Linked DNA regions of Lepisosteus oculatus. The protein of the gene in region 4 interacts with the protein of the main gene of each other region in a pairwise test. Links are inferred from orthologs where the notes say so. Each region holds a gene or a part of one and is shown on either strand. Other genes may lie near its edges.

Region 1 (7,349 bases), on a different chromosome or scaffold from region 4:
ATACTGGACAAGCCATGACGTGGGTCTTTCGGTTTCTCTCCCTTCTGCAATTATACAAATCTCATCTGGACTGCCCAGGGTTTTTTATTTCCATGGGTATGCATTCAATGTTTACATTATAAAATTCACAAATTAAACTATTATTGAAAAATATGTTTGATAAAGATTAATCCAGGAAGGTAACTGAATATTTACTTGTCTTTCAAGCAGTAATGAATGTTGATGTGTTTATAAGAGAATGATTATTATGACTTTGACTACATTCAAAAGAATAAAAGAATTATAGCATCTCTTAACCCCATATTATATTAAATCTGAATGATTAACCATCCATTTGTATTTTATACATTTATAAATATATAATCTTCCATTAGTTTATCTTGCATGTTTTATTACTTTATTAATAAACTATTAATACAATTGTATATTGTATTCTTTGTATTTTATAGATCACTGTTTGATCTGATTGATTAATTCCTATTAGCCATATTGCAGTCCCTGAGTTCACATTCCCAGTTTTTAATTGTGTAAGTAAACTCAAACCATCACATCACTACAGTCCCATATGAGGTTTGCAGGAAGTCCAAAGCTTCGGTCACATTATAGTTCAAAAGCAAACCCATTCTTTCTCATTGCAAGATATGGGTTTTGAAACTTAGACCCCATGTAGGTAATAACATTTGACAACATAGAAATGGGGCTCAGTAATAAGATGACCTAAAACTAAACCCTTCATTTTACAGAATGTTCCATGATTCAAATTTGCAGCTAATTACTTAGCACTTGGGGTGTCATCTGGCTTTAGAGACCAGTTCTGATGAGGAGTGTCAAAATTATTGAAGCACTTGATCACACACAGCACTGGAGGAGGACAGCATGTCATTAAGCATTGCAAAGCAGCAAACACAATTTTAATTATAGGATTTTTCATAACTGCTCAGTATTAATGTTGGATCACATAGAGAGCAATTAGGGAAACTTCCAATGTATGAAAATGTGCAAAAAAAGAAACTTTTCACTTGGTAGATGAAAAGTAATTGACCTACCCCATTTTTGCCTTTAAAAGTTTCTCTCTATGGATTACGTCTTGAATGTATCCTTAAACTTTTAAGGGCATATTAATTTAACATTCACATACCACCTGTTTTGACTAATAGAAAGCTGTGAGCAAAATATGAGCATGAATAATTCTGTGGTTAGTACACTGTAATGTTGGTGTTGTATGCAATGGCAGGCCATTAAAGGAGTCCAGACGTTTCTCCAAACTAAATAATCTTTTAAATGATAATACAATAACATCACTTCACAATGTTTTTGGAAATGTTGCATGTTTTAACAGTATTTCTCATTTAGCTTGTTTCAATCATTAAAAACATTTAATGTACTGTATGACTGTATGAACAATGCCCCCATAGTAATATTCCAGAAGTCATTATCTATTTTTAGGAATATAAGATGAGGTTCTAAACACAGTAGTAGTAGTGACTTAAGTAGTGACATAAGAAAACAGAATTTAACTCTCCATTGATGGGAACATTTATTTAAATATAACTTTGGTTACATAAAAAACATGTTCATACAGTAAATGCTGTATGACTATCTTACAAAGGCTTTCGGTGTTGAACTCTGAAGTGCACTGGTACTACTGTAGGTGCCCGACAGATTCTGAGAAGTGTTCTATTACTGAATTAAACTCGCATTTTTAAGTCTTAGTTTATGTAATGAGGTATGCTTTTATGGATTTAAGCACTGGCTTGCAACGTTTCTACAGGTCAGTGTTGTACTTAAGGATATTTCCATTTATTAGCCATAAAGCCATAAAAGATATCCATTGATTCATCCTTTCATAGTCTACTTTTCCTGGCAAGTGTCCTGGCACCATGATAGGTTTTTCTAGTAAATGACGCCAACAAGTGATGATATAATTACATTATCCTTTTTTCTGCACAGCTTCTTCCCTCATAACACTATTTCAACCAACTTCACACCTAAGCACTACACCATACACATAACAAGCATCCTTTCTTTTCATGAGCTGGACCAATGGGGAATTTTAATAGGTTTTTCCCCACTACGCAGATTAATGGCTAAAAGCCAAAGGTTTGATCACAATGGCTTTGTCACTAAAACCTTTCGGATTTCTCAAATCAAGGTCTCGTGTATAATGGCAGGCTTAGAAGTGGCAATAACACCCATACAAAATGCAAATTAGTGCAGCCATGTCTAGTCATTGTAAATACCAAAATATACTTACATCACTTATCAACTCGCTGCACTTCTTGGCAAATTCTAAGTTCCTGTCCTCAACAATGGGCTTACTGAAAGCCTGAGGAAGAAAAATGAAAAGCGTTTCCAAATGCATTTCAAAATTGATTTCAACGAAGGTCATCAGAAAAAACAACTATGCTCCCCCTTCCCCACCCCTGCACAAAAATAAGAGCTGACAACACATACCTCCTCCTTTTTCATGTTTACCCCAGTATCTTCCTCAGACATGTCCTTGGAATCACACAGCTTCTGAATTTTAAACCAGAAGAGAAAAGAACTTTCTGGGTGACTGTGTGCTCTGCTTCTCCTTTAGGGGTTGCGACAGCAGTTCTGAGTGCCTCAGCCCAACCCAACTCCATTCGTTCAGTATTCTTTATCAAACCACCTTCCTAATTTAGACCTCACTCAACAGCTTTTATCTGCACAATTCTCTACATGCCAATAGAAACACATTGCCTGAAACCTCAGGAACAAACAAGGAACAATTCTGAAACACAACATATCTTTTACATTATGCCCTACAGGTATAAATAAAAAAATATTTTTTAAAAATGCATTAAAAGATTGAATGAAATCTATCTATATCAACATTGTATGACATATGTATGTATAAGTATGTATAAGCCTTGATAAGTCACTCAGCTCTAATGAACAATACATGGACTGTCTAGAAGGAGTTTAAAACTGAACGTTAATACTATATATTTGCTAAAAACTTAATTTACCATCTTAGGAAGAACATAAGGTTAAGTCCACATTGAAAAGCAAAATCAAAGAATGCACTGGACTCATTAACTGATGTTTGAAGACAGCTCCACAGCTGAAATGCTTTACTTTTCATGTTCTCAATGTGGAATTAAACTCAAAATGTTCGAATGAAGTTCCCAGACCGATATAGCTGCCCACTCTAACAGTTATCAACTTAATTCCTTTCAACATCTCCCTTGAGAGTTACTAAATGCATCATTCTATGACAGCGTGCATTCGCTAACCTGAGTTCCAGACCAGAATTAAATTTCACAAGTAAAGAGGCACCACATATATATCCACCCCTTTTCTAACCACTTTAATCAAGGCCAGAAATACTCTGGATTGTGACGGGATGCAAGCCCATCACAAGGCCCACAGAGACAAACAAAGACATGCAAGAACAGTACTATACTCACACCAGGGCCAATTTTCCTATGCTATGGACTGATGTCCCATCCAGGATGTATCCTTTCCTTGCAGTTGTTGCTTGCCAGGATAGGCTCCCTGCAACCCTGTACTGTTAGAAAAGGGATGGATGGATGAGCAAACACAAGAAATCTTCTTTAATACCCTCCTAGCCTGAAATTCCCAATTCCTTCTCAATTTGACTCACTGCTAGAACGCTTGCAATGACACAAAAGACTCCCCTGCAAAGGTATCTCATAGAGCAAAGAGGTGCTGCTGATGGACAAGGCAAGGATACTCTGCATGGCTGGCCAAAAATATTGTGGCCAGTGCCAAGCTACTTGGGAATCTCTGCCTCAGCTGGCTCATAGGACAGGCCAGAATAACACCAGTGATGCCTGGACTATAGAGCCCTTCCTGCCCACTGGAACAACCAGTTGGTTGAGCCAGTCAGGGTCCACTGATTTTTTAAATTCATAAAACAATTCCATGCTGTAAAGCTACAGCAAATGGCTTTTCTTTTGTAAATGTAGTTCACCAGGCATTAATTATTTGATTGATAATGGCTTTCAGCGTGTATATGGCATAGAAAAAGCCTTCATTTAGACACAAATTTTCTTATGTGCAACAATAAAATGATAGAGCTGACTAAATAAGCATCAGGAACTACCTAAAACCAACACATCACTAATCACTAATAATAGAGCAGCACTTCTGCCGACACCAATGTATTAGATTCTGCTTTTCACTGAGAAGCTTGCTTAGGCTTAATCGATGCCCTCCAGGGTGATGGACAGAGAACTTTCACCGAACACAGAGGCAGTGATGTCAGCTGCCATGGTATGTGAATGCTTTTATCTCGACATGACTAAACTGTACAGCTCATATCTATCTGAGCTCTTTAGTCACACAAGAAGCTTCTGTGACATTTCAAAGACAGTCATCTGTGCTTTAAATGGAATCACTCGCTGTTCTTTTCTTCTGCATTCTTGATGAGAACAATTCACTGACAGAGAAAGAGAGACTGGATCAGGAAATAAAGAAATCTTATTTTCTCATGGTGCTACCCTATAATGTAAAAAGATTTCCAATGCGCATCTTTATAAATATAAAACAATAACATATATTCAAATGTTTTTAGGAATCATTGCAAGGTTAAAATATCTTTCACAAAGTGGACTGCTGCTTCATCACACCTTGATTTTTCTACTTTCTTTTTTCCAGGTAGTTTTATAAAAAGGCCTAACAGCAGTTTGTGACAATCTTAGTGAGAGTTACTATAGAAGGTCACTCACATACTGACAATGCCTGCCAGAAAGAATACTAGGCATTCTACTGAAGCAGCCCACAGATACATTTACAGAATTTGCAAAGCATTTTGGAATCCTTTGGAATTGCTATATAAATGCAATTAATTATTGCCTTCTGGCCTGATCTTATCAGGTCTCACAAGCTAAGCAAGATTGGACTCGACAAGTACTGAGATAGGAGACTGCTAAGAAAAAATAGCGCATCCTGTAAGTAGTGTCGGTGGTTAAGTAGGTGGCACCTTTCTCTCTGGACCAGAATTTCCAAAACTACTGCCCTGGTACAGTAACTAGAGGACACTGTTTCCTTAATATGAAACAGTCCTGACCACATTGTCATTAAAATGTAAAGTTAAATTCTACTTAGTACAGCCTAGTACTTAGTACAGTCACATCATCATCACATCATCACTTTCAATATCAACTTATCCAATTCAGGGTCACGTAGGCCCGGAGCCTATCCCAGGAAGCAATGGCTGCAAGACAGGTCACACAGTGGACAAGACACCAGTCCATCACAGGGCACACACAGACATAAATATATATACACACTCACGCTACGGCCAGTTTAATCTACCAGTATGTTTTTGGACTGAGGGAGGAAACTGGAGCACTTGGAGAAAACGCAGTGAGTAGATACAAACTCTAAGCAGACAGTGCACTAGGACCAGAACTGATCCCAGAAGCCCAGCACTGTGAAGCAGCAATGCTAACCACTGACTGCACCCTCATGCTGCCCTCAAACTGTCCCGTAACACCAAAAATATATACTTTTTGATGAAATTCTGTGATCTGTTCCCTCATCTGTATATTCTGTCCCTGTTAACCCTGTGCAGGGTAGTGTTTATAAAGGCCAAGGCGAACAAATCCGAACGAGCAGGCAAAAGGCAGGTCAAAGGGCTGAAGCTGGGTCAAAGCACAGAGGTCGATCAAGAGCTAGTTGAAAACAACAGGAGCTCAGGAGGCAGGCTGGTTTCCTAATGCCGAGCAGTGAACAAAGTAAGCAGAGGGTTTAAGTAGTGAGGGAAGGGGTGTGGTGTGGTAACTGGGTAATGGGAGTTAATTAGGGCCAGCTGCGCTCGGAACAGTCCCTATTCCTTTTCTTTCTTTGACATTTTATTGACAATTTATTGGCATTAAAATGTCTTCTAAAAACATGTAGGAAGGAAACATACATCGTTAAAGCAAGAAATCCCATTTTCCTTTAAATCGTGATGTAACGGGAAGCGTTCGTCATTCAACTTTCATGAGGACAAATAAAGAAAAAAACTGTCCTGGGGGATACTACAGAAACAGCACAGTGGGAAGTTCAAACAAGAAAGCTTAAGAATCTTCTATTTAGGGAAAAAGAAAAAAACGGGAGTGAATTACCCTTTTAAAAGCTTTAACTGCATCTAGCTGGCTGCCTCACTTAATCTTTTTAACACAACAAATACTGTCCTTTTACCCACATTTTTCTGTAATTATCTTGGTATCCATGAAGACGGGTTCAGCCTCTTTCAGCTACAGTTTACAAGATTAGATAATCTTTTTCTTCACTTGTGTGTTCGAGGAAGAAGGGAAAAGTAAACAGGATATTTACTCCCAAATTGACTAATTCTGACATTTTACGAGTAAAAAGACAATGGGACTGTTGTTTCAACTATCAAATCACAGAGAGGAGTATTATGTTTCAGAAAAAAAATTAATACGAGCATAAGAAACGTTACAAATGAGGAGATAATTTGGCCCATCTAGTCCATTTAGTAGTTAGTAGTTAACTAACCATAACAAAGAAACAAGGAAAGGTTTATTTCATGCTGAAAAGAAAAGAAAGGTAACACAAGATTTTGGCTGTGGAGCCTTCTTCGAGTGTGCATCACCCAAATTAACCATAAACATAACCCAAATTAACAAATTAACCATAACCATGTCATCACCCAAATTAACCATAGCATCACACCCTGCTGTTTATTCAAAGAAGCCAGGGTACTAGCTTCAACAGCATGATTCGTTAGCTCGTTTCATACTGCCACAACTCTTCACATAAAGCGCCTCCTCTTCTCAGTTTCAAATACACTGTTACATACTGTCGTATCCTCTGGTTCGTATTTACCCTTTGAATTTGAAGGCAGTTTCATGGGACTGGTTTTGTGAACGCCTTTGAGGATTTTGAATACAGCACGGTTTTGACATCTGCAATTTTAACATTCGCAAATTTGCGATTCTGCCTGGCCGACGGGGTTTCGGGTGGAAGCAGAGCAGAGCAGGATGAATCCAGGCGGAAGGTAGTTAAGTACAACTTTCAGACTAGCTGCACAACAGACTGGGATAATGCGATGAATCTAGCTAGTGAGAAAGCCTCTCTCTGCCCCCTGCCCAAGTACCCGCGACCCAGTGTCTGCACCTCAACATGGTCTTGTTTTGGTATTGTGACAAGAGCTCCCAGTTTAGGTGCCTTTACAGGCTCTCTGACAGTTTTATTACAGAGGGGTTGTGCTAATGACAGAGCAGGCAAATACTGTAGCAGGCATCCACTGGAATCAGAGTTTATAAGTTTGTGATTACTGCTGTTTGTTTTACTTAATCAATGTTATTTAAATTAACATAAAGCCAATGCATTTGTATTTTAATTATAAG
Region 2 (7,764 bases), on a different chromosome or scaffold from region 4:
AGCTGAGGCTCCTCCTGAAGGGCTGTCTGAGGCTCGGCGCAGACTGACTTGTTCTGGCCGACTGCCCAGTTTGTTTGTTTTGGATCAGGGTTTTTTTGACGATGAAGAAACACGCAGATGGCCGAATTAGCCCAAGTGTTGCCACACTGGGGATGTGGTGTGAAGCCTTCTAGCTCTCTCGCCCCCCAAAAATGAAAGAAAAAATCATTTTGAACAACCTGCACCCTCCCCCCTCCGGCCCTGCACAGTGTGACAGCAGGAAGGCCTTGTTCAGAAGCGCATGTACAATGCTGGTCACTGCGTTAGAGAGGAGGTATTGCTGCTCTGGAATCTGTCCAGAGAAGGATCATCGGCTCCATTCCAGGGGTTGAGGGAGTGGTCTACACAGACACACGGGAGAAACTGAACCTTTTCACTCCTGAACACAGAAGACTACAAGGGGACCTCAGTGACCAGGTCAATCTAGCAGACTCCTGCAGCAATAACAACAAAACACGCACCAGAGGGCACAAAGGGAAACCCCATGAGAGTGCTTTTAAACCCAAGCAAAGGAGGCACTACTTTACACAAAGGGTCGTGGGAGTGTGGAACAAGGTATACAGTCACGCTGTTGAAGCCAACAGCCTGGCTTCTGTCTGGAATCATCTGCAAGAGACCCTTGGATCAATCAGCTACTGACGAGCTCAACGGGACGAGCAGTCTTCTCTTATTTATTACTTCATTCTCCTGATGGAAAGGATCGTGCTGGCCCTACTATGACCCGTTTTGTATTTTAATATTCATTAATCATTAACTGTTAAGCTCTAAAACGCACCCCGACACACATGGATATTAATCCAAATAGAGAAAAGGAACAGATCGCGTTAATATTTAATTTGTTTGTGATCCAGCGCAGGTAAATCGGAGGGATTCAACCGAAAGAAGAGTGAGCTGCTGAGCTGGAGCACAAAGCTCCAGCCTGTCCTGCAGGAGTGTCTACAGTGTCAATCGATTGCAAAGATGGTCTTTTGTTGACTGGCTTTTCCTGCTCTCGTTAAGCATGCCAATTCCTAAATGTCTGGGTACCATGCAGAGGTCTGCTCAGTGCTGAATGTTATTCGTATCCCCACTGCTTCAAGGTCTTCTATCGCCTGTGCCAAGTTGCCCCGAGTTTAACAGCAAATCAAATTAAGTAAAAAGTCCTGACGTGCTTGTTATTTTATCTGGTTATCCTACTGAAGACGCCAGGGAATCTGGAAAAAATGAGAAGCATTCCCTGCCTACAAGAGTGGTTTCTGGCAAGACAGCACTGAACAGATCACAATGAGCTCCCGGACCAACTTGAGATTCTAGGGTGCTGCCCTTACCAGGGGTACGATTCAGCCTTCTTCATCGGACAGAACCCCCAAAAATACACGTACTGTAGATGTCGGCAAAACGAGGGCTTAAAGCAGCCCTGTTCCTGGAGAGCCCCGGCTGTCGAGTCATTCTCGACTCCCCAGCGAAGCAGTTCAGGTCCAAAACTAGAACGAACGCCCTCTACCGACTAACTCCACTGCTGGACAGGGATCCGGAAAGAGAGGACAAGGCTCGGCTTCTAGTAGTGAAATAACCAGCGGAAGGGCCGGAGTGCCGCAGTAGAAGGAGCGAAAAGGTCAAAATTGAAGCCAAGGGGAGGAAGCAAAAAACTGGGAGGCGCGGGGGGGCTAGATTTGCAATGCAAACATTTCCCAGAGCGCAAAACACAGGCCCTCCCACACACGAGCACGGCTGGCCGGCGGGGGCGGCCCCAAGCCAGCCTCGCCCGCTGCCGGGGCCGCCCTGCTGGGAGACCCCCCTGCGCGCGGGGGGAGCTCGGGAGGCGCAGGTGGGCCGGAGTTCCAGAACCAGAGCGCCCAGGCGAAAACTACAGGGAAGTGCATTCAAACCTGTCAACGCGAGGCACTTCTTTACACACAGGGTGGTGGGAGTCTGGAACAAACTGACCAACCAAGTAGCTGAAGCTGATACCTCGACTACATTCGAGAACCAGCTAGATGAGATCTGGGTTCAGTCAGCCCAGATGTGCCAGACCTCTGTGCCAAATGGCCTCTGCTCATCTTCTTGATGTTCTTGTACCAGTAAACGGCACCGGCCCACACAGCACTCGCAGCTCCGGGTCCCAGCCCTGTAGTGTTTGCTGGGATGGCACGCCGGGTCCCGCTCATTCAGAACCTGATCGTTCAGACCCTGACGGAATCATGGGCCCGGGTTCATTTAATTGCCCTCCCCCGTGTCCCGGAGAGGCTAACGTTGCTGGCTCAGGGGGAGGGGCACAGGGTCAGGCTCACTCCCCAAGAGGAATCTACGGGTCTGTGACCCGGAGGGGGGCGTGCGTGTGTGTGACGGAGACAAGGCGAGAGTTTCAGACAATCGGAAAGAGAGCGAGCTGGCATGCATTTTCAATCTCTTCAGATTGCTCTTCGGCAGGAGCATTAAATGATGGATCACGCCGAGCCTCAGCTAGGCCCAGACTCTCTGAGCAGACAGCGCATCCGACAATCACTACCTGCTCCTTCAGGAGCTACTGCCACTCCCCACCTACCAACAGCAAAGTCTACCATTCACCGCAGAAATCTACAGTTTCACTTTACCACTCTGACCTTTTCCTACCGGAAATTAGGCTTCTGAAATGCTCAAGGCAGGCATATTTCCTCATAAACCTCTGGGGCCAGTGGGCTGTGTTAAACACATCAGCAGAGCTCTCAAAATAAAGGATCGTGTGCTCGATGGGCTCAAAAGGCTAGCAATCCAGAAGCCAGGACCACAGACACACCTACTGAGCACGATCCATCGACAAACCCCTCTGTACGATGCCGTAGTCCAAGGCACCGCACCCCGAAACCCTGGGTGGAAACAGGAGCCAAAATGGCTGCTGATCCAGGAGGGAAAGCAGCCCTGTTGCCTGGTCAGGCAGGAGTTAACAGGAAACTGTGCAGCTGGGGCGAAGTAAACAGACTGCGGCCAGGCGCTCTCAGACATGCCTGTATAAGGCTGTGCTCAGCGACACGCCGACGGGCTGAGTCATGCCCCACAAGGCACGCCCCCTCCGTCTCTCCCCCTGTGCGACTGCTCCCTCAGGAGCTCTCTGTACCTGCGCCTCCCGTCTCTCTTCTTCAGGCCCAGGCCCAGCCCCGCCTGCCCCTCTCCTCCCTCCCACACCCCGTCTCCCTGCCAGCCCTGGCTCGCTCCGCTCTACCTGCCCCCCCCTCCACTCCCTCCGAGTCTCCAGCCCCACCTCCCACTGCAGCCCTCTCCTCTCCCCACCAAACCGCTCAAAACCTACAATCACCAGCCTGCCTTCGGCTCACAGTCTGGGGTGTTTGTGCCTGCTCCTTTTTGTGCTCAGTGTTGTTTGGCAGTCTGCTGAGCTGGCTTGCGTCAGCTTGGCAGAGCGTCTCGCGCTTTTACTTACTGCAAACTTTTTTCCCTTAAAACAAGAAACCCTTCATGTGAATTATCTGTGCTTGTACTAGGGCTATCCTATCGGCAGCCTGCAGGCCTCGCCTCCCCCGATGCGGTCCAGAGGACACTGACAGTGAGAGGGATGTGGTCAGGGTAAACAGGAACACTGCTCTAGCCACTGATATTAACAAATGAAAAAAAAAAAGTTTTGAAGTCGGCCCGAACATAACTGTCAAAAAGTAGACGAGTGCAAGTACAGCTGCTGTTAATACATTTACCATCTTAAAGCGAGACTGTGGTAGACGATACCAGATATACAACAGGCTTATATAATTAGCTGCGTAAGCTTTCGGTAACAGAATGAACAAACGCAGCATTAATATGCAGCTCTGCAAAAGTGCAAATCTCGCAGGCACCTCAGAATACACCCCAAGCTAAGCACAGGCAAGACTGCCCCTCTGGTCTCCATACACAACTAACTGCAGAAATGAAACGCACACAAAGGTACATCATTTATCAAGATATGTGACATACGCCTGAAACGTGTTTGGGCGATTTGAGACACAGGACACAGATTATAGTGGTCTGGGCTCCAGGACACATCTTGGCTTTGAGCTCTCGAAGAGTTAATTCCACATTCCACCAGCCCCACAGGGCGTTTCAGACTGGAGCCTGCATTCTGGGAGCACTGCCGGTGTCTTAGGGCTGCGGGCGACTCACGGCCTTCGACAAGCGCGGGCGTGGCGGAGGAGAGAGGGTTCTGAAACGGAGAGAGCCTTCCACACATCGAGATAAACTGATCGCCGCCACTTTTTTCACAAGGGATCTGAGATAAGGCCTTGGAGGAAAAAAACAAGAACTTTAAGACCTCTGGTGCATTGGCCTGATGCTCACCTCCTTCCCACAGAGGAACAGGTAAAGGTCTATTCCATGCAGAAAGGAAAGGAAAAGAGAAAACGTTTCGGCTGTGGATCTTCTTCAGGTGTGTGCAGAAGGCCCCACATCCGAAACGTTGCGTCTCTCCTCATGTCTTTTCCTTTCAGCAGGGAGAAATCCTTGACCTGTTCCTCTGCAGCCGGCACACGCCGACACAGCTCCCTCCTCGAGCATCTCCTTCACACTATATATAACCAGCCTCACGAATGGACAGGTGATCCCAGCGTCGGTATTATCACATACACCCCTGGGAACACCGAATCAGGCTGTTACTTATCAGACTTCACATTACTGCGATTGTCAGCGTGAAGAGAGTGTGAATAAACCTGATGAAATGCGGCCAGCCAGCTCTTGAAATCAACAAACTTTCTCTCTGGATCTGTAACGTGCTTTAGGGAGCACAAATCCAGTTTGGGACTCTGCGAAACAATTCGGAGATCCATCTCTTGTGAAGCCGATGTCCTGAGCTCCCCAGCGGGGCTGCAGGTGCGCAACACTACCACGCACTCCGATGTCTGCAGAAGCGGACAAAACTTCGCAGAACGCAACTTGATTGTTATCCACAACCAGATGGAAAAGAACCACTGAAAACAATGTCCTCCGCTTTCACGGGGGGACAATGAGAACGTAGAACAAACTGCGTTCGTTTGTTCCGCACACTCATTGTTTCTTCAGCTACATCCTCAGGCTCTTGTGAAAGATGCTTCTGCAAATTCACAGTTTGCTAAAACCAGGCACTGTGGTTTGACTTCCTCAAATTCCTCTTCCCCCCCAGGGTCGGCGCAGGCGAGTCTGGTCAGCACGAGCCGCACGGAGCGGTAGCTCTGTCTGCGACAGCGGGGGCTTGGCTTCACACCGAGGAACGGCGGCAGGGTGAACCGGCCCGTCACGGTACCGGCTCGCCCCGGGACAGGCTTGGTCTTGGATACGGCCCCACTCAATGGAACAGTGTCATGAAGCTGTCAGGTGCACACGCCCCACTCCTCCTCTGAAGGAACCCCAAAACACTCGCAGGGAGATCTCAGGGGGCACGGGCAGAGAGGGACACCCCGAAAGGCATCAATTTGGGTGTGATGGTGAAGTTGCATCATTCCGCCTGCTGCTACTCTGCAAATTCGCAAAGGGCCGGCACTCGTAAGCAGCTCTGGATGGGAGATGTGCAGATGTGGCGCAGCCAGGGTGCAACTTCCAAACCCGCCGCACGCCGCTTCCTCCGGCGCATTTTCACACAATGACGGGTCCGCAGGGCAGTTCTCCTTTCCAGCAGATTAACTGCACCGCTCCTGTCCACCACCCGACACCAGGCGCAGAACAGGGCCCGCACCGCACCTGCCCAGTTTAAACGTATGGCATCCAAGAACAGACACAAACCAGAGTGGAGCTAAAGAACAGTAGCGTGTTCCACGCTCCTACAAGCCTTTGTGTAAAGAAGTGCCTGTTTTAAATGCACTTCCAAGTGGTTTCAACCTGTGCCGTCTGGTCCGCGTCTCACCGTTCATTCTGAAGAAGCCCACTGAGTGACTTTGTTGCCTTTGATGATTTCGATTACTTGGACGAAGACCCCTTTCAGTGTTTAGGACTAAAGAGCTTCAGCTCCTTCAGCCTGTCCGTGTGGGATGTTTCCTTAAGCCCCACAAAGAATACGAGCGTTACTTCCTGGTCTGATTTCAGAGCAGCAATGCATTTTTTTAGAGGACGATGACAACACTCATACAGAGCACTCTACATGAAAGCCTGAATACAACGGATCAAAGAGTTATGCTCCTTCCAACCCTGTACGTCAGCTGATGGAAAAGAAATGCATGTTCATGTCGCGGATGCAAAGTGATGCTGTTCTAAACTGATGTGTGCATCATGATGTGAGGGGGAGGGGGACTGTACGACCCTCCTGACAGGCAAAACTGGGAACTGCATTTCATTAAATAATGTTCATCGCCACTCTAACGAGCCACATTGTAGTTCATTATTCAGTGCGAATAATTCTTCACTCAACAGGCCTAACCACAGCTCAGCAGAGGAGCAGCAGAGCTCCGGCCCCTCCTCCTCGAATGGCCTGGCGGAGGGGGGTTGATGAAGCACAATTTCATATTCCCGCAGGCTCCTGTCGCACAGGGCTCGTCTGAGGACTGCTGATCAGCGCTTCCACCTTTGAAGCCGTTTCTTGCGAGACCGGAGAGCACGAAGCCCGGGCTTGGGTGCCGGTGTCCTGCGCTCTTTCCTGGGGTGTCCACCCATGTCCGGCGATTTCGCAGGCTCTGTTTCCTTCCACTCCAGAAACCCTCATCCCTTCAAGTCCCCACAAGACCCTGCACGCTCACTGTCCTCCTCCAGGCTACCAGTAATCACAGCACCCAGCAATGCAAGGCATGCAGGAAATGGCAGAGATTCAGGGCTGCGCCCTGGACTCGCAGAAGAGCTGCACTCTGTAAACTCACAACTCACACTCTCCCTCTCTGCCCCATAAACCTCTCTATTCCTTCGTTACCTGCGGAGCTCAGCACGCCTTGCGTACAACAACACGGTGCAGAGATGGAACTAGGCTCTCTGGTTCCGGTACCAGTCTGATCTCCCGCTCAGGTGAGCGCGGAGGTGGGCGTGGCAGGCTTGGGCCACTCTGCTGCAGAGCGCGACGCCCGGCGGTTCTGCTCCACGGGCACAAGGGGGCGCTTCAAATGTCACCGAACACACCGGGCAGCCTTCCTCTGCTCCCTCAAGAGCCTTCTGTCCGTGTGGCGGGAGGCTGGGGAGGCGTGGCTCCCAAAACAACTCTTGAACAGAGGAGGCTACGAGGGGATCCGATACAAGCAATCAAAAATCCTCAAGGCTCTGGCAAACCCAACCCAGCGGACGTCTTCAGAATCAAGGGTGAAACACGAACCAGGGGACACAAGGGGAAATGCATTTAAAACTGAGAACTCTTTTACACAATGGGTGGTGGGGGTGGGGAACAAGCTCGCCAACCATGTAGCTAAAGCCCGATACCCTGCCTTCTTACAAAAGACAGCTGGAGGAGATCCTAGAATCAATCAACTGGCTAACGGGCTGGTAGGGCCACACAGCTCCTCTCATTGCATTATTGGACTTTGATCCAACCAATAATGGCTTATTTTACTGGCCCTGTAGAACACTTAGACATGAAAAGGACTGGAAGTGTCTGTTTCTCATCGGATCAGACAGAGGATCTTTGCCAATTGTCTATGAGGAGCCCTTCAGGGGACACAGTTGTACTTGTCCACCAGCTTTGATGCCAGAAGGTCTGCAGGTCTCCTACCAAACAGCCCAGAAGTAACCTGGCTTATATTTGTAACTCTTAGGTCAACCAACATTGTTTCATCTCCTGGTCTCTGTTCACGTTAATCATGTGTGTGATTCCAGGACACAGGGGTGTCCAATCCTAGCCCTGGA
Region 3 (7,183 bases), on a different chromosome or scaffold from region 4:
ATGGCCAATAAAGTGATCTTATACTGTATCTTCCAGTTCTGCGAAAGGCTTCTGCAGTACAGCTCCCTCATCTCTTTCACACATCAGATTTCTGGGCAGCACATTGCTGAGTGTCACATTCCCACCAAAACGCAAATTCCTTCCATAACTTAATGAAATTTGACCCTAAAAACCTTTACCAGCCCCTAGCACATAAAAAACACATTCACATGGCCATTTTTATCTAGGATCATCTTTATGTGAATCTTTAAATGAGCTCAGAAGATTATGAATGTGTACACAGAAGGCTCTCTAAAACAGCCTATTAAAGCTGTAGCTGAACTGGGATGATTGAATTGTACAGGTCCTGCTTAAACGCTGACATGATTTTAAATTTTATCTGTATGAGAATGTCAGTGTTACAGGCTGAATTGCCACCAAACAAAAAGAGATGGCATTGTGATGACCCCCGCTCCATATTTCAAGGGTGATCTGTCGTTTCTGTCATTTTGCAGGCCACTGTGAGAACGTGTTTATGTTCTGACATGTAATGTTTCTTCCATTAGGTAGCCAGTACACCTTTAATTAGCACCTTCCTTAAACACGCTTTATTTCTTTGTGGTGATATTTTTGTCTTTCGAGCCTTGTTGGCCTCCCGGGAGTTTCACAGTGCCGTGATTGTATAGTTACTGTTTGTGTGGTTTCCGTCTCAGCCCTGCCTGTCCTGGGGGTGTGATCATACTGTAATACAGACATAGCTCTGCCCCTCCTGGCCAGCTCATCAGTAGGGAAAGAGGCTCAGTGTCTTTTCACACCATTGTGCATGGCTTCCTCTAGACCTGATAGCTGGTGTCACTTTCCACCACTGATGAAACACTGCCTTCCCAGGCATGGCTATTTTGTCATGATCACACACAGCCATTACAAAACAAACACTACCAAGCCAGACTCCACTGCTGCAGTGATATTGTATTATTGCTGTTAGGTCTTTTATTGTTCTTTTTTTAAGAATGCATTGTTATTGGAATGTGAGGCAGTAAGGTTACAGAGTACAAGGCAGTGTTGCACTGCAGTAACAGTGGGTGGGATAAGATCATTTTGTGGTCAATTTCTTGTAGTAGGAATTTGTCTTTTCCCAAACCCCGACTTGCTCTCCATAAGACACACAGACAGGGAGAGAAGCTGGGGGTCAGAGCGCAGGGTCAGCCATTTATATGGCACCCCCTGGAGCAGCTGGGGTTAAGGGCCTTGCTCAGGGGCCCAATGGAGTAGGATTGCTCTGCCGGCTGAGGGATACGAACCCGTAGCCTTCCAGCCACAGGCACAGAACCTTAGCCACAGAACGACCACACCAGATTCAGTATTTTCAATCAGATACTGCTGATCTCAATGTACATGTCGCCTTTCAAGGAGCCTAAACATACACATTAAAACAATTTCTCTACAACAGAGAACACTTCAGAATGTACAAAAAAGAACAACAAGAAGAAGAAAGAACATTTACAAAAGTTACATGACCTAGGCACACAAATGGTCAAGTTCAAGGTCAAGTTCACGTTTATTTGTCATTCCAGTCACATACAAGAATACACTGGAATGAAATATCGTTCCTCCTGGTCCACAGTGCAAATACAGGCAGGACAGACAGGATACACATAGTGGAAAGTGCAGATAGTGCAAATTACACAATATACACAACACACTGGGGGGATTTAAACCCTGTTTCTGGAATTGGGGTGGGTGCAAGTAGATTCCAGGGTGTTGAGGAGCCTGACAGCCTGCGGGAAGAAGCTGTTACAGAGCCTGGTTAAACTTGTCTATAGCTCAAGAGTACATGGGTAATGATCGAACAATAACAATGGTACCAGCTCTGAACTCGGCCTAGTCCGTTATCTCATCCCTACCCCTGACATTTAGGAGAAAGCCCATGAAACAAGGTGGCTTTTGCAGAGAAAGGGTCGGAGCATTACAAATGCAAGTAGGAAGGGAATTCCAGAGAGTAGGAGCAATGGAACTAAAAGAATGAGGTCCATTGTTACGATCATTACAATGCAATGCAGTATAGAAGAGCATAGTGCAATATAAGTGCAGAACTTCTTCGGTGTGGCGTGGCACTATAAAACAGTAATGTAGTATTATTTTAGTGGGGTTCAGTGTTATTGAACTGTGATATTATTGGAGTTCAGTATTATTGAACTGGCCTACTGTGATAATTTGAACTATTTGATCTGCTACAATGTTAGTGTTAGTGTTGGTGAACTAAATTAGCTGCTCTGTTTCATCATTAGGCATTAGGCACCATACATACCGAGTCTCTGTCTCTTCCACAGTATATAGTAAAGCCCCTGCATGTACCTCCGGGGTGTCAGAGCTCACAGCGTGGCCTTCATGTCCCTCATGCTGAAGCCAAGGTTTGGCGTGACAAGTTGAACCTGCTCTTCCACATTCCCAGAGGGTACAGTCTACAGAGTTTGTGATGAGCACCCCCCACCCCAGAGCATTTTCCTTCTGTTCTGTTTGGACAGGACAGGGCTGGAGCAGTTAGCGGTTTCTGCCTCACCCTCTGCCTAACAGTGTGCTTTGCCTTTCATGCCCTTTTGTCTTTGAGAAAGAGTAGACTTTTCACTTTGCTCAAGGAAGTCAGAAACCTCCACTGCCCTAATTACAGACCCCAATCTGAGAATCTGCCCCTTACAGTATCAGTACCATACAGACTGGAGCTGAGGAGTCCACTGTTGGTGTGGCTCTGAACTATGTGACTCTGGTAAGGGCATCCCCAAAGCTAACGGACCCTGGCCTCCTGGGCATGAATAGAGCTCACACAGCATGGACAGAAGACAGATTTTATTCTGAAAATGCCAGAAATGTAGAGTACAGCATCTCAGCTATGACTGTGGCTCAGCAGATTATCTGCCTGCCCGCTGCTGGTGCTACACAAGAGCTGAGATGCCAGTTTGTTTGCATCATAGAGCAGGGGTATCTGATCCTGGTCCTACAGGGCTGGTGTGGCTGCATGACTTCCAGGTCTGAAGATCTGGAAGTAATTGGGTTGTTAAGCCAATAACGAGCTGACTGACAGTGCCGGATTTCCCATTAGGCACTTTAGACACAGTGCCTAGGGCCTAAAAATTTTTTAGGGCCACGAAGGAGGGAAACACTAGTGACTAATGAAAAATGAGCTGAAACAACATGCTTGCGATCGGCTCTAGGTGCTCCAAATCAATAATCATGCGCTATTTAGCGGCTGTTCTAGAAACGAGAAGTATCGAAGTGATGGTTGCTCAACTCGCTCCATCAATCACAAGGTTTAGCATGAGAATAGATAGATAGATAATACTTTATTAATCCCGTAGGGAAATTGATAGTATAAATCAATTAGTTAAAATAGTTTAAAGTGCATCATGTCAATCGACGTAATTCAACTGGGGTTTACCCCTCTCTTTGCACAGTTTGGAGTGCAATAACCTAGGGCCTACGAACATCAAAATCCGTCCCTGCTGACTGACTTGGAATGAAAACCGCAGGCACACTGGCCCTCCAGGACTAGGACTGTCCTCCCCTGGCAGAACCCTTTGTTATTTGGACTCTTTACTCTTCCAGAGGTCTCAAACAGTTCCTGGAAGGCCAAGTGTCTTCTAGTTTGTGTTCCAACCATGTTCTCACATAGCTGGTCTGATTATTTAAGTAACTGTATACTTGTAATATCTCTAACCAGGCTCTGAGGCGATTTATAGGAAACTGTAACTGAAAGTGAAAGTCTTGTTTATTCCACTCTAAAAGGCCTCAAGAAACATCCTGTTACATCCTGAAACTGTTACATGTCTGATTCAGAAAATAATTGGGTCAATTACTTAATTGACTTCCCAGGTTGGAACAGAAACCAGAAGACACCAGGCCCTCTGAAAATGAGTGTGAGACACCTTTGCTCTTCTAAACACGTTTTCACTTAGACTTCCATACTGGGATCTCAGATGGTTTGGTGGTATTGAAATGGAATTTCCTGTTTGCATTCAGGGTCTATTTCTAAGTGAATACTGGAAGATTCGATGCAACGCTGTTTCTGAGGCACAAAAACAATTTCTTCTTCTGAAATGCGGTTAAACCTCCTAAAAGCACTTCTGCACATTTATACTTAACTCTTTAGCGAAGGCTGAAGCTACAGTGCAGACGCTCACGTGTCGCTGCTGGGGGTAGGTGACGTCAAAGCCCAGCGATTTCTGCTAGTGACGGAGAGCGCCGGAAAGAGGAACTTGGAGAGTTTGTTTAAGTTTTTGTGTCGTTTTGCAGTAATATAGAAAGATGGTGAGAAAGTTGAAGTTTCACGAGCAAAAGCTCTTGAAGAAAGTCGATTTTATCAACTGGGAAGTGGACAACAACTTACACGAGGTGAAGGTGTTGCGTAGATTCCACATCGAGAGGAGAGAAGACTATACCGTGTAAGGTTTCTCTGCTGATTCAAACTAAACACGCTGGGCTGTGCGCTTTACTGCACACGGGAACAGACATAAATTGCGCAAGCTCTTTGTTGCTTCTGCGGTTTCGAGAAATAGGAAAATATCTGCCCTTTTTTTACAAACAGATAACTTGTAGCATAAGTTGTTCTGTACGCATGTTTTTTGAAAGGGTATTACTTGCTAACGGAACCCTTTATGCGTGTTTGTTGTGAGACCCATGCTTAAGAGGCTCGTAGAAACGCTGAAACTACTGAAGCTTCACGTGAAATACGCTTTAAATTGTAAGTCTCATGCTCAGACGTGGGCGCCGCCATGACACTTTTCTCTTGCCGCGGGGTGCTACATCGGTTGTCTTTTTCTTCGTCACGCAAGCACTTTTACTTTTAATCAAGTTTAGAACCAACTAAAGTAGATGAAAGTGAAGTTGACAGTGGCATTGCCGTTTGCGTTTAGGATTCGTAGCCTTTTCTCCTGCTGTTTGTGTCGATGGGTTGGGGGACTTCGAATCCCAGCATGCTCCGCGGTCTGTTGCGCTGCAGGCTGCCTATATCCGAGCGCGTGCGTGGTTTTCCTCACTGCGGTGCGTATCATGGATCAGTACTTCTTCTGCAAAACCAGAAAAAGCTCTGAAATAATATACCTCCTTAACCGAAACTGCCTGGGGTTTACGGCTGGAATTGTCAATGTTTCACTTCTTCATTCCTGTTAAAAAGAGTTAAATTGGGCTTCCTTGCCTTTCAATCGCATCAGGTCTGATTTTAACTCCTTGGAACAGCTGCACCAGAACCGCACACGGACTCTGGACAGCAGTGTGTAAAGGCACTCAGAATACTGCCTGGGTCTCTCCAGGCCATCGCTATAAATGAGAAGCTTTTCTCATTAGAGCCATCTGCTTAAATAAAGCATTAAACAAACCGCTCCTGCGATCAGTCATAATCTCCATACTGTTATACTTCATTTCTCTGTGCCCCCCTTCACTATCCACCTCTCTCGCTGTCATTATTTTCCTGCCGGTATCAAATCAAAGTTTATTTATCAAATGCTCAACAATACAGCGTGCAGCAGTAGTTGCTGGTAATGAAATGTCTTTTCTGCAAGCTCACAAAAATCACAAAATAGAGGTTATGAAAATAAGGTTACATACTAATAGATGTAATAGAAATTGAATAATGAGTCGAGCTGCTATGTGTCCATGGTGTATGCAATAAATACAAGTAGTGCAGTTATGCTGAATACAGTGAAAACTGTGTCCATGTAGCCATTACAGGTGATTTGCTAAAGGATCTGCAGGTTGGCTGTTTAGCAGTCTTAAACGGTACCCCTGTTCTTCTCTCCTGTTTGCTGTTGGTCCTCCCTGTTCACCCCTTCTCCCCCCTCTCTGCCCGCCTCTCCCGACAGGTACAACAAGCTCAGCCGTGAGATCCGGCAGCTGGCCCAGAAGATCCGGGACCTGAACGAGAAGGACGGCTTCCGCGCACAGAACACCGCGCGGCTGCTGGAGAAGCTGTGAGTCGTGGGGCAGGGCTGTGTGCGCGTGTCGGACACGGAGGGAGGGAGAGGCATTCGGCAGCGTGGGCTGACCCGGTCGGCCAGGCAGTCGGTCCATCGGTACAGTGTTGGGAAAGGAATGGACAGGAACAAAGTCATGGATTTATCTCATAAAGATGTCAACTGTGGTTTACAGAAATGCATTGTGGGATGCTCAGAGGGTTAAAACCACTGTTTCTCATATAGTGTGACCTGTGTGATATTACAGGATTTTCAAGACCTTTAATACAGCTGAAGGGCTGATATGCCCATTTTTACATTAATAAAGCAGGTCCAGCTTCTTATGAAATCCATTCTATTTCAAAACTTCAGCATTTGTCTGAGCTTCTAGCGATGATTAGTGATTTAGTTTTCATAGGCAAAAGACTTTGTGCCACTCATTCATTCACACTGTTTAAATTAGAAACTGTGCTGTTTTTTGGGGAATGCACATCCACAAAACACCGTTCAGTTTCACAAATTAAATGGAAATGAGTTTCATAAGTGTAGCATCCTTATATATTGTGGTATCTCAATTTCTCTCCTCTAGCTACAGTACAAAAGTATGTAGTAATCTTGAAAAACGTCTGTCTTTTTTGGATTGTGTTCAAGCTTTGTTCTTAATCACAGGCTTCATTATTTCAACTTTCTTTTTGAGGCTTTTTTTAAAATTTCTTGTAGAACTTAAAACATTTAATAGGTGTCAAGCCTGTGCTAATCAGTCCAGGACTGCCCTCATTCAGGTGTGTAAGGTGAATTATATGAAATATAGCCAATTGGGCTGAAGTAAAAGGAAGATCACAGACTCACTGTGGGAGGTGTCTGATACAGGGCCATTCTCTCCTGTCTCTGTTCATCGCTTTGATCACTTACTAATAGTCGTTTAGTCAGAAATAGGGGAGCAAGTGAGTCTGCGAGCCGAGGAGAGACTCGATTAAATTCTGTGGGCTGATGTTTTTGGAAATAATGTGCTTTAACTGAGGCCTCTCTGAAACCAAGAGGCGAGTGCTGAAACAAGCAGATCAGTTACAGGCAGCAGTTAGCTCTGCTGATTAAGGGCCCAGTTGGAATGAAAACCAGCAGACTCAGGGGTACTTCTGAGAGCCCCTGCTCTGAGCCCTCCGCAGTATGCACTTCTGCTGGCGTCTTTCCTCGTGCTTCTTCAGTGAAGCCCTGCTGCTCTCCAAACACGTTTTAATGTGCACAGTGGTGATTTTAAAGCA
Region 4 (7,978 bases):
CGGCCGCACCTCTCGGGGTCCCGCCGCTTCCTGTGCAGTGACGTCAGTCCACTGATAACTGGGGTTTCGTCACAGCACTCTCGAACTTTAACACACAGAGCTCTCACTGTGTGACTGTGCTGTAGTGTCCAGTCAGTCAGTCAGGGTCACTGTGCTGTAGTGTCCAGTCAGTCAGTCAGGGTCACTGTGCTGTAGTGTCCAGGCAGTCAGGGTCACTGTGCTGTAGTGTCCAGTCAGTCAGTCAGGGTCACTGTGCTGTAGTGTCCAGTCAGTCAGTCAGGGTCTCTGTGCTGTAGTGTCCAGTCAGTCAGGGTCACTGTGCTGTAGTGTCCAGTCAGTCAGTCAGGGTCTCTGTGCTGTAGTGTCCAGTCAGTCAGGGTCACTGTGCTGTAGTGTCCAGTCAGTCAGTCAGGGTCTCTGTGCTGTAGTGTCCAGTCAGTCAGTCAGGGTCACTGTGCTGTAGTGTCCAGTCAGTCAGTCAGTGTCTCTGTGCTGTAGTGTCCAGTCAGTCAGTCAGGGTCTCTGTGCTGTAGTGTCCAGTCAGTCAGTCAGTGTCTCTGTGCTGTAGTGTCCAGTCAATCAGGGTGTGTGGACATTTTTTTTTAATTCTTTTTTGCTCTTTGTGCCCAAAAAGAGAAAAAATATTTAGATCACGTATTGAAAGTCTGGATAGTCTTACATTGTTTTTGGTCTGGATCAGATTCTTTAGCATCAAGCATTTAATCAAATTATTTTTTCCAATATTCATTTATACTACAGTATAAATAAACATAATCTAGAGCACTATGACTAGGTTGTGTCCGGTGTTCATTTTGTTGACAACATTTATGGTGAAAATGTTCCTCAAGGACCCGCTTTTCATTCTAGTTAACAATGATAAAATGCTCAAGAAAATAATCTACAATGATGATAAAAAAAGGTTAAATTGTTTTCCATTTTTGTCTGAGTTAATTAAGACAAGACAAAATGATGTGTTAAACTAAAACTCATACTGGAATCAATTTCATCACAAGGTTCTCCGTTTGTGATTTACTGTCTAACATGTTACTTTCTGTCCACATGGACTAGAAGAGTCTTGAGCCCTGTGACTGGGCTGTCAGTGTGTCCACAGGGACTAGAAGAGTCTAGAGCCCTGTGACTGGGCTGTCACTGTGTCCACAGGGACTAGAAGAGTCTTGATCCCTGTGACTGGGCTGTCAGTGTGTCCACAGGGACTAGAAGAGTCTAGAGCCCTGTGACTGGGCTGTGTCAGTGTCCACAGGGACTAGAAGAGTCTAGAGCCCTGTGACTGGGCTGTGTCAATGTGTCCACAGGGACTAGAAGAGTCTAGAGCCCTGTGACTGGGCTGTGTCAGTGTGTCCACAGGGACTAGAAGAGTCTAGAGCCCTGTGACTGGGCTGTGTCAGTGTCCACAGGGACTAGAAGAGTCTAGAGCCCTGTGACTGGGCTGTGTCAGTGTGTCCACATGGACTAGAAGAGTCTAGAGCCCTGTGACTGGGCTGTGTCAGTGTGTCCACAGGGACTAGAAGAGTCTAGAGCCCTGTGACTGGGCTGTGTCAGTGTGTCCACAGGGACTAGAAGAGTCTAGAGCCCTGTGACTGGGCTGTGTCAGTGTGTCCACAGGGACTAGAAGAGTCTAGAGCCCTGTGTCTGGGCTGTGTCAGCGTGTCCACAGGGACTAGAAGAGTCTAGAGCCCTGTGACTGGGCTGTGTCAGTGTGTCCACAGGGACTAGAAGAGTCTAGAGCCCTGGGACTGGGCTGTGTCAGTGTGTCCACAGGGACTAGAAGAGTCTAGAGCCCTGTGACTGGGCTGTGTCAGTGTGTCCACAGGGACTAGAAGAGTCTAGAGCCCTGTGACTGGGCTGTGTCAGTGTGTCCACAGGGACTAGAAGAGTCTAGAGCCCTGTGACTGGGCTGTGTCAGTGTGTCCACAGGGACTGGAAGAGTCTAGAGCCCTGTGACTGGGCTGTGTCAGTGTCCACAGGGACTAGAAGAGTCTAGAGCCCTGTGACTGGGCTGTGTCAGCGTGTCCACAGGGACTAGAAGAGTCTAGAGCCCTGTGACTGGGCTGTGTCAGTGTACTTGACACAAGCTCGCTCTACATCAATATCAGTGTTAGGTCGTGCATTATGCTTGCAAGTTACAGATAGTGCATATATCTGTCTCTCAGCCAGTCTCCCATTTAGTAGCAAGAGTGTCAGTTTCTTTCCATGTCCAGTATCAGTCATTTTAAAGAAGGTTAAAGGGAATCGCCAAGTAATCCGCACACGCAGCAGGACAGGGGACACAGTGAGAAGAAGGAAGTAACAGGGTTTAGGACGCAGAACTGAAGCAAGCGGTGTAAACACTTGACAACATGAACATGCATTCTCTATGTGATCGAGTCCCGGGATTCACACCTTCTGACTTCCACAGTTGCTTGGCGTGTGGGTCCTGCCAGATGTGGCACCCAGAGGCTCGCTAAATAAAGTTGCCGCGCGTTTCTGACCAGCCTAGCCGGGCATGGGGGGGAGGGAAAAACCGCGACAGCGGCAGGACGGCGACGCTGTGCAAGGGGTTCGAGGCGGCCGGCAGCAGCTGCCGAGCCTGTCCTGACTAGCGTTTGTGCCCGTTAAACAGCTCGTCTCTCTCTCTCTCACTCTCTTACCCTGTGCCAGGCTGCTCAAGACTCTTCTCTTCTGCCTGCTGGCTGCCTAGGGGGCTTGAAACACCGGCGAACTCGTCCTCCTCTCTCTCTGTTCTCTGGTCGGGGGGCTGCGCCGCCGTCCTGGTGGGTCCTGTACTGAACTCCCTCTCTCTCTCCCTCTCCCTCTGTTTCTGCCTCTCGCTGCCACAGCTGTGGCACCACTCCCTCTCCACACCCCCGTCTCTCTCTCTCTCGCTCCTTCCTTCTCTCAGCGCCCCAACAAGTTCCCTCTCGCCGGGAAGAGAGGGCAGGCAGAGGGGCCCACGCCCTCTGGGCAGCCCGTGTTAACTGTGCATCGGGATTATCAACCTCCTTCCCTCCTCCTGCCCCCCTGCTGCTCTCCACCCCCTCTCCTCCCCTCCCCCCCTTCTCCTCCTCTCTCCCTCTCTCTTAATTTGGATTCTTGCAACATTCTTCACGGTATGACATCAGCGCTCTGCCTGCACTTCCTTGTAAGGTCAGAGGCAGAGAGCGAGGGCTGTGTGTGTGTGTGCGCCCGCGCGCGCCCCAGGCAGAGGTGAGGGTTGATGAAGTGCAGGTGCCCCGACTTGCACGGCTCCCCCCAGACAGCGAGGGGGGGGGGTAACACAGGCCGATCGGCCCGCAGCACGAGTCCCTGAAGGCAGACCGTGTGTGTGTGTGTGTGAGCGAGAGAGAGGATGAGCACACGGTGAGTCAATATGAGCTCATCCCTTCAGGAGCAGACCGCTGGACACTGCCCCCGCCCCCCCCCCACAGCCCGCCGAACATCCGCTGTCCGAGAAAGACGAGGGAGACGGCCCAGCTGCTTCTCTGTTTTTTTTGGGGGGAGGTTCAGAAGAACTGGAGACCGGTTACAAACGAGAGGGGCCCACCTGACCCGTTTGGTAGTTAGTCGTTTGTTTTTCCGAGCTTCGCATCCAGCTGAGTCTGGGGAGGAGTCAGGGTCGCAGCTTGTTCCACACCCCCACCACCCTCTGTGTAAAGAAGAGCCTCCTGTCCCGACTGGAGGGTCCCATCCAGCTGGGTCTTGAGACAAGCCAGGCTCACGGCTTGAACAACTTGGCCAGGTAGCTTGTTCCTTTGTGCAAAGAAGTGCTAAGACGTTCCACCCTCCCACCACTCTTTGGGTAAAGAAGTACGTGCTGTCCTGATTGGAGGATCTCCTCCAGCCGTGTCTTGAGAGAAGCCAGGGTGTCGGCTTGTTCCACCCTCCCACCACCCTTTGTGTAAAGAAGTGGCCCTCCCTCCCCCCCTAACTCATTCTCCTTTAAAAAAAAAAACAGTTTCCTGCAGATTCCACTTGAATCCTCGGATATCCTCAGCAGACCCCACTCACGCCCTGTTTCTTCAGCATACGTGTCTCATTCCTGTCTCCAGCCACCCCTCTGCTGCTCTTCTCTGCCTGTCTCTCTAGCGCCCCCTGCAGGCGCCGGTCTGCCATGGACTCTGCTCATCACTCCCTTGTCCCTTTCCAGGAATCCGGATCCATCGTTTCTATAGTTTTATTCTGGCATCTTCAGCTGGGAACTTGGATCAGGATCCCATGAATGTGTTGTGAATACATGGTTTTGTTGTTGTGTCTTCCTCTTTCTTATCATCCTCTTTAGTATCTCATGTTTTCTCTTTCATGGAATTGCAAGTACTCGTACTCCTCCGGCCTGGGTGATTGTTAAGCTGCTTTTTCTCATCGCAATCGCTCAGAAGTCGTACTCTTTCCCTCGGCGGCTCGCGGTCCTGGCCCCGTAATGCGGAACTGGAGGTCGCCCCGGGAGAGAAGCATCTGCCCTGCCAGCCGCACGTTCAAGCCCAGCGGCGGAGGCTTCCGAGGACGGCTCGACTCCGGAGCGTCCGCCGCGGCGCAATACCGGCCGCGTCCACAAGAGCGCAGCATTGCGACACATTTCCGCCCAACCCCCGCGGTCTGCGGCAGCGCCGCCTCCGCACCGGCGCCATCGATCTTCTGAAAACACGCACAGGTGCGACAGGAGGCGCACAGGTGCGACAGGAGGCGCACAAGGAGGAGGAGAAATACTCGGTGTTCTCTTATTTTGGCCATACTGCCACCACGTCTATTAAAACGCCTTTATATTTAATATAAGAGTTAACCCAGCAGCCCCACTGTGTAACAGGTCAGGGGCCGAGGAGAGAATTTAATTCTCCAGTTGAATTCAGGGCTAACTTTACAACAAAGAGCCAACGGGATCTCTAATGAACAAGTAGTCCAGACCTGCGGCTTAACATCTTGCCTGATCGCCATACTGGGGCACTGGACTGGCAACTGTGTCCCAGAGGATCAAGCGTCACCTACTGGTCCACCCACGCCACTCTCAAGCCATTTTTTATGTCTATCAGTGTCAGACACTGAAAAAACACTTATGTGTGGTTTGTGGACACTGTTACCAGTCAATACCAGTTAGACGGTAACAACATTTTGATGCACTCGAATACTTAGACCACAATATCACGGCTACAGCAGTTTAATCACCTAAAACACTCACTGACCAGTGAGGACAGGCTCCGTGACCACAGAAAACTGGACACCGGCAGACCTGGCTGTCCAGAGAGGACAGGCTCAGGGACCACAGTCTGGACAGAGAAACTGGACACAGGCAGACCTGGCTGTCCAGAGAGGACAGGCTCAGTGACCACAGCCTGGACAGAGAAACTGGACACCAGCAGACCTGGCTGTCCAGAGAGGACAGGCTCAGTGACCACAGCCTGGACAGAGAAACTGGACACCGGCAGACCTGGCTGTCCAGAGAGGACAGACTGTGCTCTCCCTGCCGGCAGGGAGAAGCAGAGACAGAGATGCACTTCCTGCTGTGCTGGGAGAAACACACAGGGATTAGAGAAACCTTCTTCCGAACAAATAACAAACCAAATCTCAGCGCTCCCACACCTGCCAGGATCAGTCCTACTGGGAGAGGAAACTGGACAGAGCTGCAGCCCAGTGTGTGATCTCCTGTCCCAGCCTGAGACAGAGCGGGAGCCTCTCAGATCACAATATTGTGTTATTTAACGAAATGTCTGCAAGCATGTTCCCGCGGAGTCCTTGAGCTGGCAGGGCAGTAATTCGTCGGTCATGCCAGAGCAGCTCTGGCAATTGGAAGGGGCAGAGAGAGGGAGGCTTATGAGCAGTACTGGGTTCAGTGCCCTTCTCTAATTCAGAACACCTCTCCTCCCGCACTCCCCCTCCCCCTCTCCTCGCCTCTCCTCAGCAGAATGCTAATCTGTGCATCACAGCATCTTATCTGTTTAGTATGTCTCTGAGCGTCCCTCCCCTCCCTGCCTCTCCTAGTGTGAATGCATAATACGTCCCTGACACCCACAGTCTGTGTGTGTGTGTCTGAGGTGATTCATGTGTGCATGTGTGAGTGTCATCTGCCCTCGCATCTCAGAGCTGACTGTGTCCTCTTCCATTCCCCCTCTCCCTCCTCTGCAGCTCCGATAGACAGACACGCCGACACGCAGGCAGGCAGACAGGCAGGCAGGCTGACAGGCTGACAGGCAGACATACAGGCTGACAGACAGGCTGACAGGCTGACAGACAGGCTGACAGGCTGACAGACAGGCTGACAGGCAGGCAGACAGGCTGACAGGCAGACAGGCAGACATACAGGCTGACAGACAGGCTGACAGGCAGGCAGACAGGCTGACAGGCAGGCAGACAGGCTGACAGGCAGACAGGCAGACATACAGGCTGACAGACAGGCTGACAGGCAGACATACAGGCTGACAGGCAGGCAGACAGGCAGTCAGGCAGGCAGGCAGACAGGCAGTCAGGCAGTCAGGCAGACACACAGACACACAGACTGACAGGGAGACAGGGAGACAGGGAGACAGGCTGACAGACACAGAGAGATTGATCACGGAGAACAGAGAGAGAGAGTACGTGATCTCCCGTCCCAGCCTGAGGAACAGTGAACTTGTCTCACAGTAATGCTCAATATGTAAATATTTTATGATATGTCTTTGTTGTAAATGTCTGTCGAATGTATTTTATTTCTATTTTTTGTTGGGTTTCCTGTTAACTTCATTTTCATTTGCTTCGGCAGCGCTGATTGTACCCATCGGCCCCGCTACTGAAGCACCTTGAGCTGAATGGAATTGATAGAGAGATCTGAGCACGGCGAGAGAGAGAGAGAGAAGAGGAAGGGAGTGGGGAGGAAAGAGGGAGCGGGAGACGAGCCCGGGGGGAGGAGAGGGAGGGGCGCAAACAGGCACACGGAGCGACTGAGGAATACCCTGTAATACAATCTCACAGCCCTGCGATTCCGGATCAATGCGAGGGAGGGGGAGAGAGAGAGAGAGAGTGTGTGTGCGTGTGAGCGCGGGCGTGCGCGCGCGCGTGTGTGTGTGAGTGAGAGAGAGAGAGGTGGAGGGAAACAGCTGTACTGCATTGTAAAACAGACGGGGAGAGAGAGGAGAATCCCCTCACTGCTCTAGCACAACCGACCCCCCGGAAGAGCAGAGCCCAGCCACTCCACTAATAATACCAATTAGCCGAATCGGGATCCGAAGTGCAATTGAGCCAGCTGCCTGCACCGAGAGATTTAATTGCCTTTTATCATTATCACCATTCCTCTCCCCGTCTCTCTCTCTCTTCCCCTCTTTCTCCCCTCCCTCTCCCTCCCTCCCTCCCTCTCTCCGTCCTCCGAGCTGGGAGCCGGTTCTTGGCACTGCAGCGAGAGGGTGGCCGAGCACCCGGCGCAGACCGGCGACCGGACTGGCTGAGCACGCCGCTACATTAACACCGGGAGAGAGAGAGAGGAGGAGGAGAGAGAGAGAGAGAGAGGAATCCACACACCCTCTCACATCCACACGCTCTCTCCCGGAGATACACACACACACACACACACACACACACACGGAGACAGGCACGCAGGGAGACGGAGAGAGGAAGAGATGAATGGGAGAGGGACTGGACTGCTGGCTCTCCGAAGGTTGTGCACAGGCCTCCACTGCCACTAAAATGGGATGCATTGGCTCAAGAACACTGAGTAAGGCTTTTTCCTTTGAACGGGGGGTGGGGGTGTGGGTGGGGGTGTGGTACCAGCCAGCACTGGGGAAACGGGGCAGGGGCAGATGCTCATCTTCTGCTGGGGGGGGGGGTCGCGGAGTATCCTACCGGTGTATAAAATTCCCCTCCGATCGGCTTTGCCTGCAGCAACGTGAACGCTCCATGTGGGTGAAGACCTCGGGATAGCAACTTGGTCACCGATTGGCATCTGTGTGTGAGGTCCCTGGGGGTGTGTGTCCAGCCCGGCGTGTGTGTGTGTGTGTGTTCAGGTATTTCTTGGGCGGGCGAG

Evidence for each region.
Region 1: the proteins of zyx (region 4) and nebl interact in a two-hybrid assay, tested with the Homo sapiens proteins (2 studies listed by BioGRID and IntAct). The link is inferred for Lepisosteus oculatus from reciprocal best matches to the Homo sapiens genes ZYX and NEBL.
Region 2: the proteins of zyx (region 4) and vaspb interact in binary tests that used the Homo sapiens proteins (3 or more experiments, as listed by UniProt). The link is inferred for Lepisosteus oculatus from reciprocal best matches to the Homo sapiens genes ZYX and VASP.
Region 3: the proteins of zyx (region 4) and imp3 interact in binary tests that used the Homo sapiens proteins (3 or more experiments, as listed by UniProt). The link is inferred for Lepisosteus oculatus from reciprocal best matches to the Homo sapiens genes ZYX and IMP3.

The regions. Positions count from the first base shown.
Region 1 is NC_090701.1:17,879,972-17,887,320, reverse strand, and holds the start of nebl (nebulette), read right to left. Parts: upstream 3,012-7,349; 5' UTR 2,997-3,011; coding exon 2,994-2,996; intron 2,616-2,993; exon of another isoform or gene 2,518-2,615; coding exon 2,455-2,517; intron 2,327-2,454; coding exon 2,255-2,326; intron 1-2,254. UniProt on the Homo sapiens protein: Binds to actin and plays an important role in the assembly of the Z-disk. May functionally link sarcomeric actin to the desmin intermediate filaments in the heart muscle sarcomeres.
Region 2 is NC_090698.1:2,213,433-2,221,196, reverse strand, and holds the start of vaspb (vasodilator-stimulated phosphoprotein), read right to left. Parts: upstream 3,016-7,764; 5' UTR 3,001-3,015; coding exon 2,795-3,000; intron 1-2,794. UniProt on the Homo sapiens protein: Ena/VASP proteins are actin-associated proteins involved in a range of processes dependent on cytoskeleton remodeling and cell polarity such as axon guidance, lamellipodial and filopodial dynamics, platelet activation and cell migration.
Region 3 is NC_090704.1:31,046,199-31,053,381, forward strand, and holds the start of imp3 (U3 small nucleolar ribonucleoprotein protein IMP3), read left to right. Parts: upstream 1-4,170; 5' UTR 4,171-4,278; coding exon 4,279-4,415; intron 4,416-5,831; coding exon 5,832-5,939; intron 5,940-7,183. UniProt on the Homo sapiens protein: Component of the 60-80S U3 small nucleolar ribonucleoprotein (U3 snoRNP). Required for the early cleavages during pre-18S ribosomal RNA processing. Part of the small subunit (SSU) processome, first precursor of the small eukaryotic ribosomal subunit.
Region 4 is NC_090718.1:2,071,768-2,079,745, reverse strand, and holds the start of zyx (zyxin), read right to left. Parts: upstream 3,020-7,978; 5' UTR 2,649-3,019; intron 2,611-2,648; exon of another isoform or gene 2,401-2,610; intron 181-2,400; exon of another isoform or gene 1-180. Other genes in the region: fam131bb (protein FAM131B), read left to right, coding at 7,579-7,669. UniProt on the Homo sapiens protein: Adhesion plaque protein. Binds alpha-actinin and the CRP protein. Important for targeting TES and ENA/VASP family members to focal adhesions and for the formation of actin-rich structures.